2 linked regions of the Tamandua tetradactyla genome follow. The protein of the gene in region 1 purifies or fractionates together with the protein of each later gene. This does not show direct contact. Links are inferred from orthologs where the notes say so. Each region holds a gene or a part of one and is shown in the gene's direction. Other genes may lie near its edges.

Region 1 (3,909 bases):
TTAACCTCATCAATATATCACATTGACTTACTAGATAGGTAAATGTTTAAACAGTTTGACCATTCGCTATTCTCCGGAGGGAACAGGTTTGGATATAACTAAATTAAAGTCCAATCTGGTAATATCTATCAAAATTAGAAGTGCATATATCCTTTTATGCAATTCCACTTCTAGAAAGTCTTCTTACAGTAACACTTGAGTTAAGTGCTTGTGGGGGCCCAGGGACCAGGTCCCCTCCTAAAAGGCATGTAGCTGGTCTGCTTTACCTAAGAGCAAAGGTCAAGAAAGTAAACAATCTCCCTAGAGGGGGCAGACATGTAACCAGAGACGTAAACGGTATAGATTGTATCTGAGTCTTAAACACTAATCTTAGTAAAACATCAGGTCCTACGTCCTTTAAAGATTATACTAGGGAGACGCTAATGTCCTCATACTATATGGAATGTCGTTGTCTAAACTCAAACACGCATTGCCATCCCCCACCCCCGCACTCCTATTCCTAGCCAGGCACTATCACTCTGGACCGGCTGCCACTGGAGAATCTTTTCTGTTCATAAGTGCCAATAAATCTGTATCTACTTCTGTGCCAGGCATGTTTTTCGGTCTCACAGCAGCACCAGCTCATGCTTTGCCTGAACTGGGTCTGGGTGGGAACAGTGTTTAAAGATCTATTAATTCTATCATTGTGGTAAATGACCCAATTGTACATCAATAGAGTACTGGTTGGATAAATTGTGCAGTAGATATGTAATCCATACAATACATAAAAAGAGTGAATTAGATCTATATTGTTGATATGGGAAAGATGCCCATAAATCATTGAGGAATGAAAAAAGCTATCCTAACAACAGAAACGTAGTAAGATTCCAATTTTTAATTAATAAAATAGGCTCAAAGGTCACATCATCAGAGACCTTCCCTAATTCCCATAGCTAATCACTCTTTATCCCCTTACTCTAAATTATTTATCCTTAGAATATTCATAAGCTCATTGGAAATAGCCTTCTTGGGCTTGTTCATTGTCTGACGAAAGCACCATGTGTACAAGGATTTTATTTGTTTAGTGTCCTAGTCCCTGCTCTTACAACATTTTAGGTCTCAAATAAGTATTAATTGAAATAAATATTAATGGGAGACGGAGAAACACGTATGTATATGCAAATTTATATGTTTTAAAGAATCTGGAATTAAAGAATAATCTCTCCATAGTCTGACATTAAACGTAGGTGCAGCTAAAATATCCCAAAATAATATTTGTATAACCCTTTTCCAGGTAAAATCATATAGTCTCATCTGATCCTTTTGGCATCCCTGTGAAATGCATAAAAATAAAAATAATTAACACGTTTACACTTTACGGTTCGCTAAAGTCATTCTTTTTTGATGCTCACATTCCTGTTTAATTCTTTCCTTCCTATTTTACTCTGCAGGGTCTTCCAGTTTTCTGAAAACTGAATACTCTTTCATTCTTTTTTGTCTTTGTATAGAAATAGAGTACTCCTTCCAGAATGTTCTTCCCTGCCTTACCTACCCAATATATGTGTACTCATCCCTCAAAACCCTGTTCAGGCCCAGAAGAGGGCCTCACTTATCTTCCTCAAATCAAAGGACCCACGCAAGAGGGGCTTCCGCACCGCGCACCGACCCCCGCCCACCCTGTCTACACTTGGAATCTGCCGTCTGGCTCCGCCCAGGTCCCTGCCGCCGGATCAGAAGGCCCCGCCCCTCCTGAGAAGTTTCCCAAGACCCCGCGCGGCTGTCCGGAGCTGCGCTAAGATGGCGACTCCCATGCATCGGCTCATAGCCCGGAGACAGGCGTAAGTGAGGGCCCGAATTCCGCGACAGGGCGGGCTGGGGGCGGGGAGACTCGCGTCAACCGGCCGGTGAGCGGGCGCTGAGTTTGGAGGCCGGACTTGGATCCCCAGTGGGGAGCGGGGGAGTGTAGTCGTTTCTGTATAGGGCGCCTGCCCCCAGAGAGCTCCGGCCAGTTGGTTTGGTTCCCGTGGGCTGGCGATTTCCGAGGACGTAAGGTACGCGGTGCTGGACACAGTGTTGAGGAGAGCCGCGGTGTTTGGTTCCCTCTAAGGGAACGCTTAGCAGTTGGTCACTAAGTGGTGTCTTGACCGTCACCCTCCGCTCACCCCGTCGCCCACCCCACGCGCGCCCAGATGAGGCCTGAATCCCTGTTCGCACAGTCCACTCCCACCTGGTAAACCTTCAACCCTCCTGAATAGCTTCCAATCTAGCTGGCTTTTCCCACGCTTTCCCAAAGAGGAAGCAGCCTGTTTACAACGCCAACTCTTCCCCCAATTTCTGCCAGAGATTCTGTCCTCCCATGAGTGTTAATTTATTCAGGACCTACCGCTCTCTATCAGAATCTGGGTATAAAGAAAAGGCGGTGTTCAAGACAGAATCCCTGCTTTCACAAAGTTTACATCCTAGTGGTGGAAATATTGGTAAACTAAACAAATTAGTAAACACAGTTGGTGAAAAGTGTTTTGATGGAAAGGGAGAAAAGACTACTTCGGGTTGGGTGAACTGGAAAGTCATCTCTGAAAAGGTGGTACAAAGTGAGACTGAAAAGGTAAGATAGGAGCCAGTTGTGAAAGATTTGAGAGAAAAATAACCAGACAGTGGCACAGTTGATCTGAAGCTGGAAGTAATTTAGTTTTAAGAACTATGAAAGGCCATTTGGGCTAATGAGCAAGAGTGGCACAAGCTGAGTTTACAGAGGTTTACCGCTTCTTGTGAAGCCTTTCTTCTGCCTACTTGCAGACCCGAACAGTGTCTGCCACTTTTTCACTCTCTCCGCATTTCATGCCTTCACCGTTGGCACACCTATAGTCTCATATAGCTCATAGTCTGCTATACTATATATGCATAAATATGCTTGTATTTGTTTAAATTTATTTCCAGAACCCTGTTCTTTTCTCTCCTCCAACTGAGTCCAGCCCAGGTGCCCAATTAAAGCGAGTTCCTTGAACATAAGGTTATTGGGTGCTGGTGTAGTAAAGTTGGTGGTAAAGGGCTTTGAAGTTAGTTCTGAGGTAAAGAATGAGGTGATAGTAATACTTAATAGGAGTGCTAAGTGATGTCGTCAGGGTCTCATTTCTTCCTCTTTCCCAGGTTTGCTCTTTTGGGTGACCTCACACTTGGATAGACTCTCTCCTTTGGTCTCAAGATGGCTGCATTATCTAGGGTTCATTATACCCTCTCAGCTTCAAGTTGTTTGCATCTCATTGGTCTAGATTGGATTACATGCCAAACCCTGAACCATGTGTAGGAGATTGTGAAGCCCTGATTGACTTAAATAGCATTCTTCTCCCAGCACAATTCAGATGCTCACCATCAAGCAAATTGATGAGCTGGGTGGGTAGATAAAAGGTGGTAAGTGAATGCTGGATTGGCAAAAACAATCAATGTCTACTGTAAGTGTGAGGTGAAAAATAAGACTTTTAGCATCTAAAGAAATTTGCTATTACTTTTTTCGTATGTATCATGAAGTTAGTTTAAACAGATGTTCCATTTCTATAGTGTGCCTGTATTTGGTACATGAGTACACAGAAGTAAAAACAAATCTTTACTTTTAGGAGCTTCTGGTCTTATTGAAGGAAACGTGGTATATGATAAAAGATGTCATGGTATACAGACTGTACGTTCCTCAGGGATTCAGACCCGTTCATCTATCCCTGAAAAAAAAACAAAGAAAAAAAAGAAAAAAATTCAACAAATGGTGCTGCAATAACCAGAAACTCACACAGAAAAAGAATGACATGTGAGCCCCAGCATACCAAAAAAAACAACTAGTGGAGTCCAGGAGTCTGGAGTGTATGTTTGTGGGGAAAGCAGGAGAGGAGCTTTCCTCTCTTTTACTTCTCGTTTTATATTCATCAAAAGGGTTTAATCATA
Region 2 (3,909 bases), on another chromosome or scaffold:
ACCTCGACCTCCATTGCTGGCAGTGACACTACCCCCGTGGTAGCGATCGTCATTACCCAACGGCAAGGTTTTCTGAGTCCTGAGGAAATTCCCTTCATCATAGTGTGCCTTGCGGTGCTGGTCAAAATCACTGGAGTCTGTGGGCCAGTGTGAGAGCTTGGCTTTTCCCTCCCAGGTTCTCTGGTAGGTTGACTCCGCCTCCCCTTCTCATTTAATCCCCACCCCTCATCTCACGTGTCTTGGTAAAGTTGTCTAGAGACCCTGAATATCTGTTCTCACGGTTCTGGAGGACCTTGGGGTGGAAATTGTCCACTGTTGCAAACCTGAAGAGAAAGACTAGTTGGGGGTACTGAAGGGAAGTGAGTAACAAGAGGGTAGGTGGGGAGGGGGCTGAGCCAGCTGCCCCTCAACCTAGGTGGATCTTGGCCAGTCCTGATGAGAACTGTAGCAATACCCATGTTGGGGTCCAAAGAGTAGAGCTGGCTCAGACCCCAGAGTCAAGGGGTGGAGGTCCCCCTGCCTCACATGATCTCTGACAGGACTCTCACCTCTCTGCCAGTGCCTGGGGAGTCACTGCGTAGGAGGAGCCTGTGGCCAGGTCCTCGTTGCTGTCCTGCAGCCTGTGGACAGGGGAGCTATGCAGGGAGGGGGAGTCCAAGTAGCAACCAGTACTTGAGGCTTCTTGGCCTTCTCCTCCCTTCCCAACCCCCTGGCATAGTGAGGAGAGTCTGGGTGGAAGGGGTAGAGTTGAGGGCTCAGCACCTGTGGTAGGGAGTGCTGGGCTCGTCCACCTTCATAAGTCCGTAGTCTTTGCCAGCAGGGTGGTAAGTGGCCAAGATATTCATCTCATCCCAGCGCTGGGCCTTTTTCCTGGGGGGCGGGGGGGGGCAGTTCGAGGAGGAAACATTCTAATGATCCTCTCCTACAGCCCTTCCTCATTCTTTCAGAAAGCTTTTTTGCGCCCCCTTGTAGGTCCAGGGGCGGTATGGACAGAAATATAAGCGGCTGGGAGTGGAGTCAGACGTAGTGATTACTTGGGTACTGTGTATCCACGGTTAATCGGGCCCCTGCGGGTTTCCCCAAGGCCCCAACCTCAAATTTCCCTCCCAATGTCTCTTCCTCTCGGGACTCCTCCCATTCCCCAGGCCCCGCCCTCTCCGGAGTCCCGAACTCCTCCCCCGGAGCTCTCGGCCGCTCTCCCGCAGGGCTGGGCCCCTTACTTTTCCACATTGGGGCATTTCTGCATCAAGACACAGCTGTTGTTTTTGAGGATGCTCCGGGGCCGGTCTTCACGTGTTATTGTGTTGCGGGAGGGAGAGCAAATTGGCCCGGAGTGCGGACTACACCCCTCTATGTACTCTTCAGACCCCCCGGACCAGGGGCTAGACGCCCGGGTTAAGCTGGTTCCAGGGCAGTGGGTGTTGATTACGGCAGGGTATATGACAGACCCAGGGCCATGACCCGCAACCTCTCCAGGGGGCTGGCTGGGTCCCGAGCCGAGGACCGCGACTCCCCCAGAGGGCTGGCTGGTACCAGGACTATGAGTTACGACACTCCCGGAGTGCTGGGAAGGCGCAGAGCCGTGAAACAGGACTGTTCCCGAGGACAGCCCGGCGCCTGCCTCGGCCCTTCTGATTCCTCCGGGAACCTCCTGGGTTGTTCCTCCGGGAGATTCCCCTTTGAGGCCGCCAGCGGCCCCCAGAGTCTCCTTCGGCATGGCCCCACCTCCGGGGGCCACTGTTATCCACCCGGCCCCGCCTTGCCTCCCTCCCCCACATGGCCCCGCCCCCGAGGCCCCGCCCCATAACGGGGTGGGGCGGGGGCGGTTGGGCAGCGGCTAGGGTTGTCTCACTGCTGCGGTGGGCGGGAGACCGGGTATAAGGACGTCAGGCTACAAGTCCCCCTACTCGCCCCTCCCTTTTGGTCCCACCCAAAGATCTTCTTTCTTTGTCTCCAGGATTTGTTCCCGCCCTTCTCTCCCATCACGGCCCTCCTCTGAATCGGCCAATCATAACCAGGGTCCTGGGGTGTGGGGGTGTGGGCCGAGAAGCGTGGATTGTGACGTCACAGCCCTCCATCATTAACGCGAGCGTGGGAGAGTTGAGCTGGGACTTAACATGCCTGGGGGATCTTTTAGGACTGTTCACGCCGTTGCTCGAAACTGCCATAGTTTCTTTGGACTCTTTATTCGTAGCTTTAAAATCGAAGAGTTTGGTTAAATTGGGGCTCAAGCAGGGCTTGAATGGAAACCTCCGCAGCTTTTTTTTCCTTTCTCCCCCAAAATCGGCTCCCTCTGTCTCTCACGAGAAGTGTGGCGCTACTGTCGCAAGACATTTCCGGTATCGGTGGTGCGGAGGGCCGACTTTCACTTACAAAACTGCCGGTTCTCTTCGCCGGGCCATCCAACCGTGGCTCAAATCGCTTTGAAGAGCGAAACGGAAAAACCTCCTCCTCTTGCCGTAAAGCGAATACATCCTTCCTTCTATGGAGGGCGGGATCGTCCGGGCCGCTGCCGCAAAACTGCGAGCGTTGAGGCGCCAGCACCCCTCTGTCGTAAGGTTGCCTGGGGCAGTCGTTTCCTCTTTCCACTGTCGCAAAAGCTCCCTGCCCAAGTGTTCGCCTGTCTCAAGAGCCACTCCGTTACCTCACCGTGCCGTAAAGCAAACAACCCGACCCCGACGTCCTTCTGTTCCTATCGTGGTAGTCAGGTCCTTAGCCCGGGAAGCCTCATTGCCTGGGGGTGCCGTAAAGCATTTCTGGTCCCCGCCCACGTTCCTATTTCCTCAGGGTGCCTGTCCCTCGCGGTTGCCACGGTGCCGCCAAGCGCGGCTGTCGCGCGGCCCCGGTGTCAGCGGCGATGGCGGCGGGGTCCGGTGGGAGTGGGGGCTCTGGGGGAGGTCCAGGGCCGAGCGGGGGCGGGGGCGGGGGGCCCAGCGAGAGCGGCCCGGGATCGGGGTCCGGCGCGGGTCTCGGCAGCGGTGGGGAGCTGCACCCGCGCACCGGGCGCTTGGTGAGCCTTTCGGCCTGTGGGCGTACAGCGCGGCGGCAGCAGCCGGGCCAGGAGTTTAACCACGGGCTCGTGTTGAGCCGGGAACCTTTGCGCGATGGACACGTCTTCACTGTCCGCATCGACCGAAAGGTGCGGAGCCGCTGTCGCGGAACCGAGATGCAGAGGGTGGTGGGAGGGGACCACAGGGAGACGGGGTAGGACAGCCCAGAAGAGTCCACATCCCAGGGTAGAGGGGGGGAATCGCCCGTCTGTCACCAGATGATAGAAAAGGACCTTGAAGCAGAAGCATGCAGTCTGCAGGAGAAAAGAGATCCAGAAGTAGGGAAGGGATGTTAGAATAGCTGGAGAGCAGATCCAATTTCTTGGAAATGGAGGGTGAGAGATGCCAGAGTGTGATGGCAAGAGAAGAGAGATAGAAAGGGGAAAAAAATCAATTAAGGCAAACCCAGGGACAAGGCCAGAAAGCTGCGTGAGTAAAATGCTCAGGAAGAGGGAGGTGTGTGTGTGTCATTTAGTGAAAAGGCCAGGCTCACAGAGATAAATTTGGGAGGAGCGTGAACCTGGGTAGATCTAGAGTCTTGGAGAGAATTGGGCCAGAGGATAGAGTACTATATGATATCAAGGGGTATGTGAACAATTTGGGTGGTTGAGGGGCCTCAGAGACCAGGGAAGTTAGAAGAAACAGGAGCTGGAGCCAGGAAATTTAGCCAGCAAGGTAGGTGAAGGGACAGTGTGGTAGACACCAAGGACCCGAGGACAATGCAGTGTTGTTAGAAGACAGCCAGCCCCAATAACCACTGAGACAGTGTCTAGAAAATCACCTGCAGGTCTATAGTCTCTGGTTTAATCTCTTGGGGAGAGAGAGCACCAAGTAACACAGCGAGAAGCTGCTGTGGCCT

The links.
Region 2: the proteins of ZCCHC10 (region 1) and NEURL4 purify together in Homo sapiens (co-immunoprecipitation; 3 studies listed by BioGRID and IntAct, with this or other methods). This does not show direct contact. The link is inferred for Tamandua tetradactyla from reciprocal best matches to the Homo sapiens genes ZCCHC10 and NEURL4.

The regions. Positions count from the first base shown.
Region 1 is NC_135346.1:11,886,441-11,890,349, reverse strand, and holds the start of ZCCHC10 (zinc finger CCHC domain-containing protein 10), read left to right. Parts: upstream 1-1,712; 5' UTR 1,713-1,776; coding exon 1,777-1,817; intron 1,818-3,909.
Region 2 is NC_135332.1:61,193,166-61,197,074, reverse strand, and holds the start of NEURL4 (neuralized-like protein 4), read left to right. Parts: upstream 1-1,211; 5' UTR 1,212-1,220; coding exon of another isoform or gene 1,221-1,717; 5' UTR 1,718-2,857; coding exon 2,858-3,139; intron 3,140-3,909. Other genes in the region: uncharacterized protein LOC143688138, read right to left, coding at 1-137, 235-323, 549-635, 763-870, 1,221-1,717. UniProt on the Homo sapiens protein: Promotes CCP110 ubiquitination and proteasome-dependent degradation. By counteracting accumulation of CP110, maintains normal centriolar homeostasis and preventing formation of ectopic microtubular organizing centers.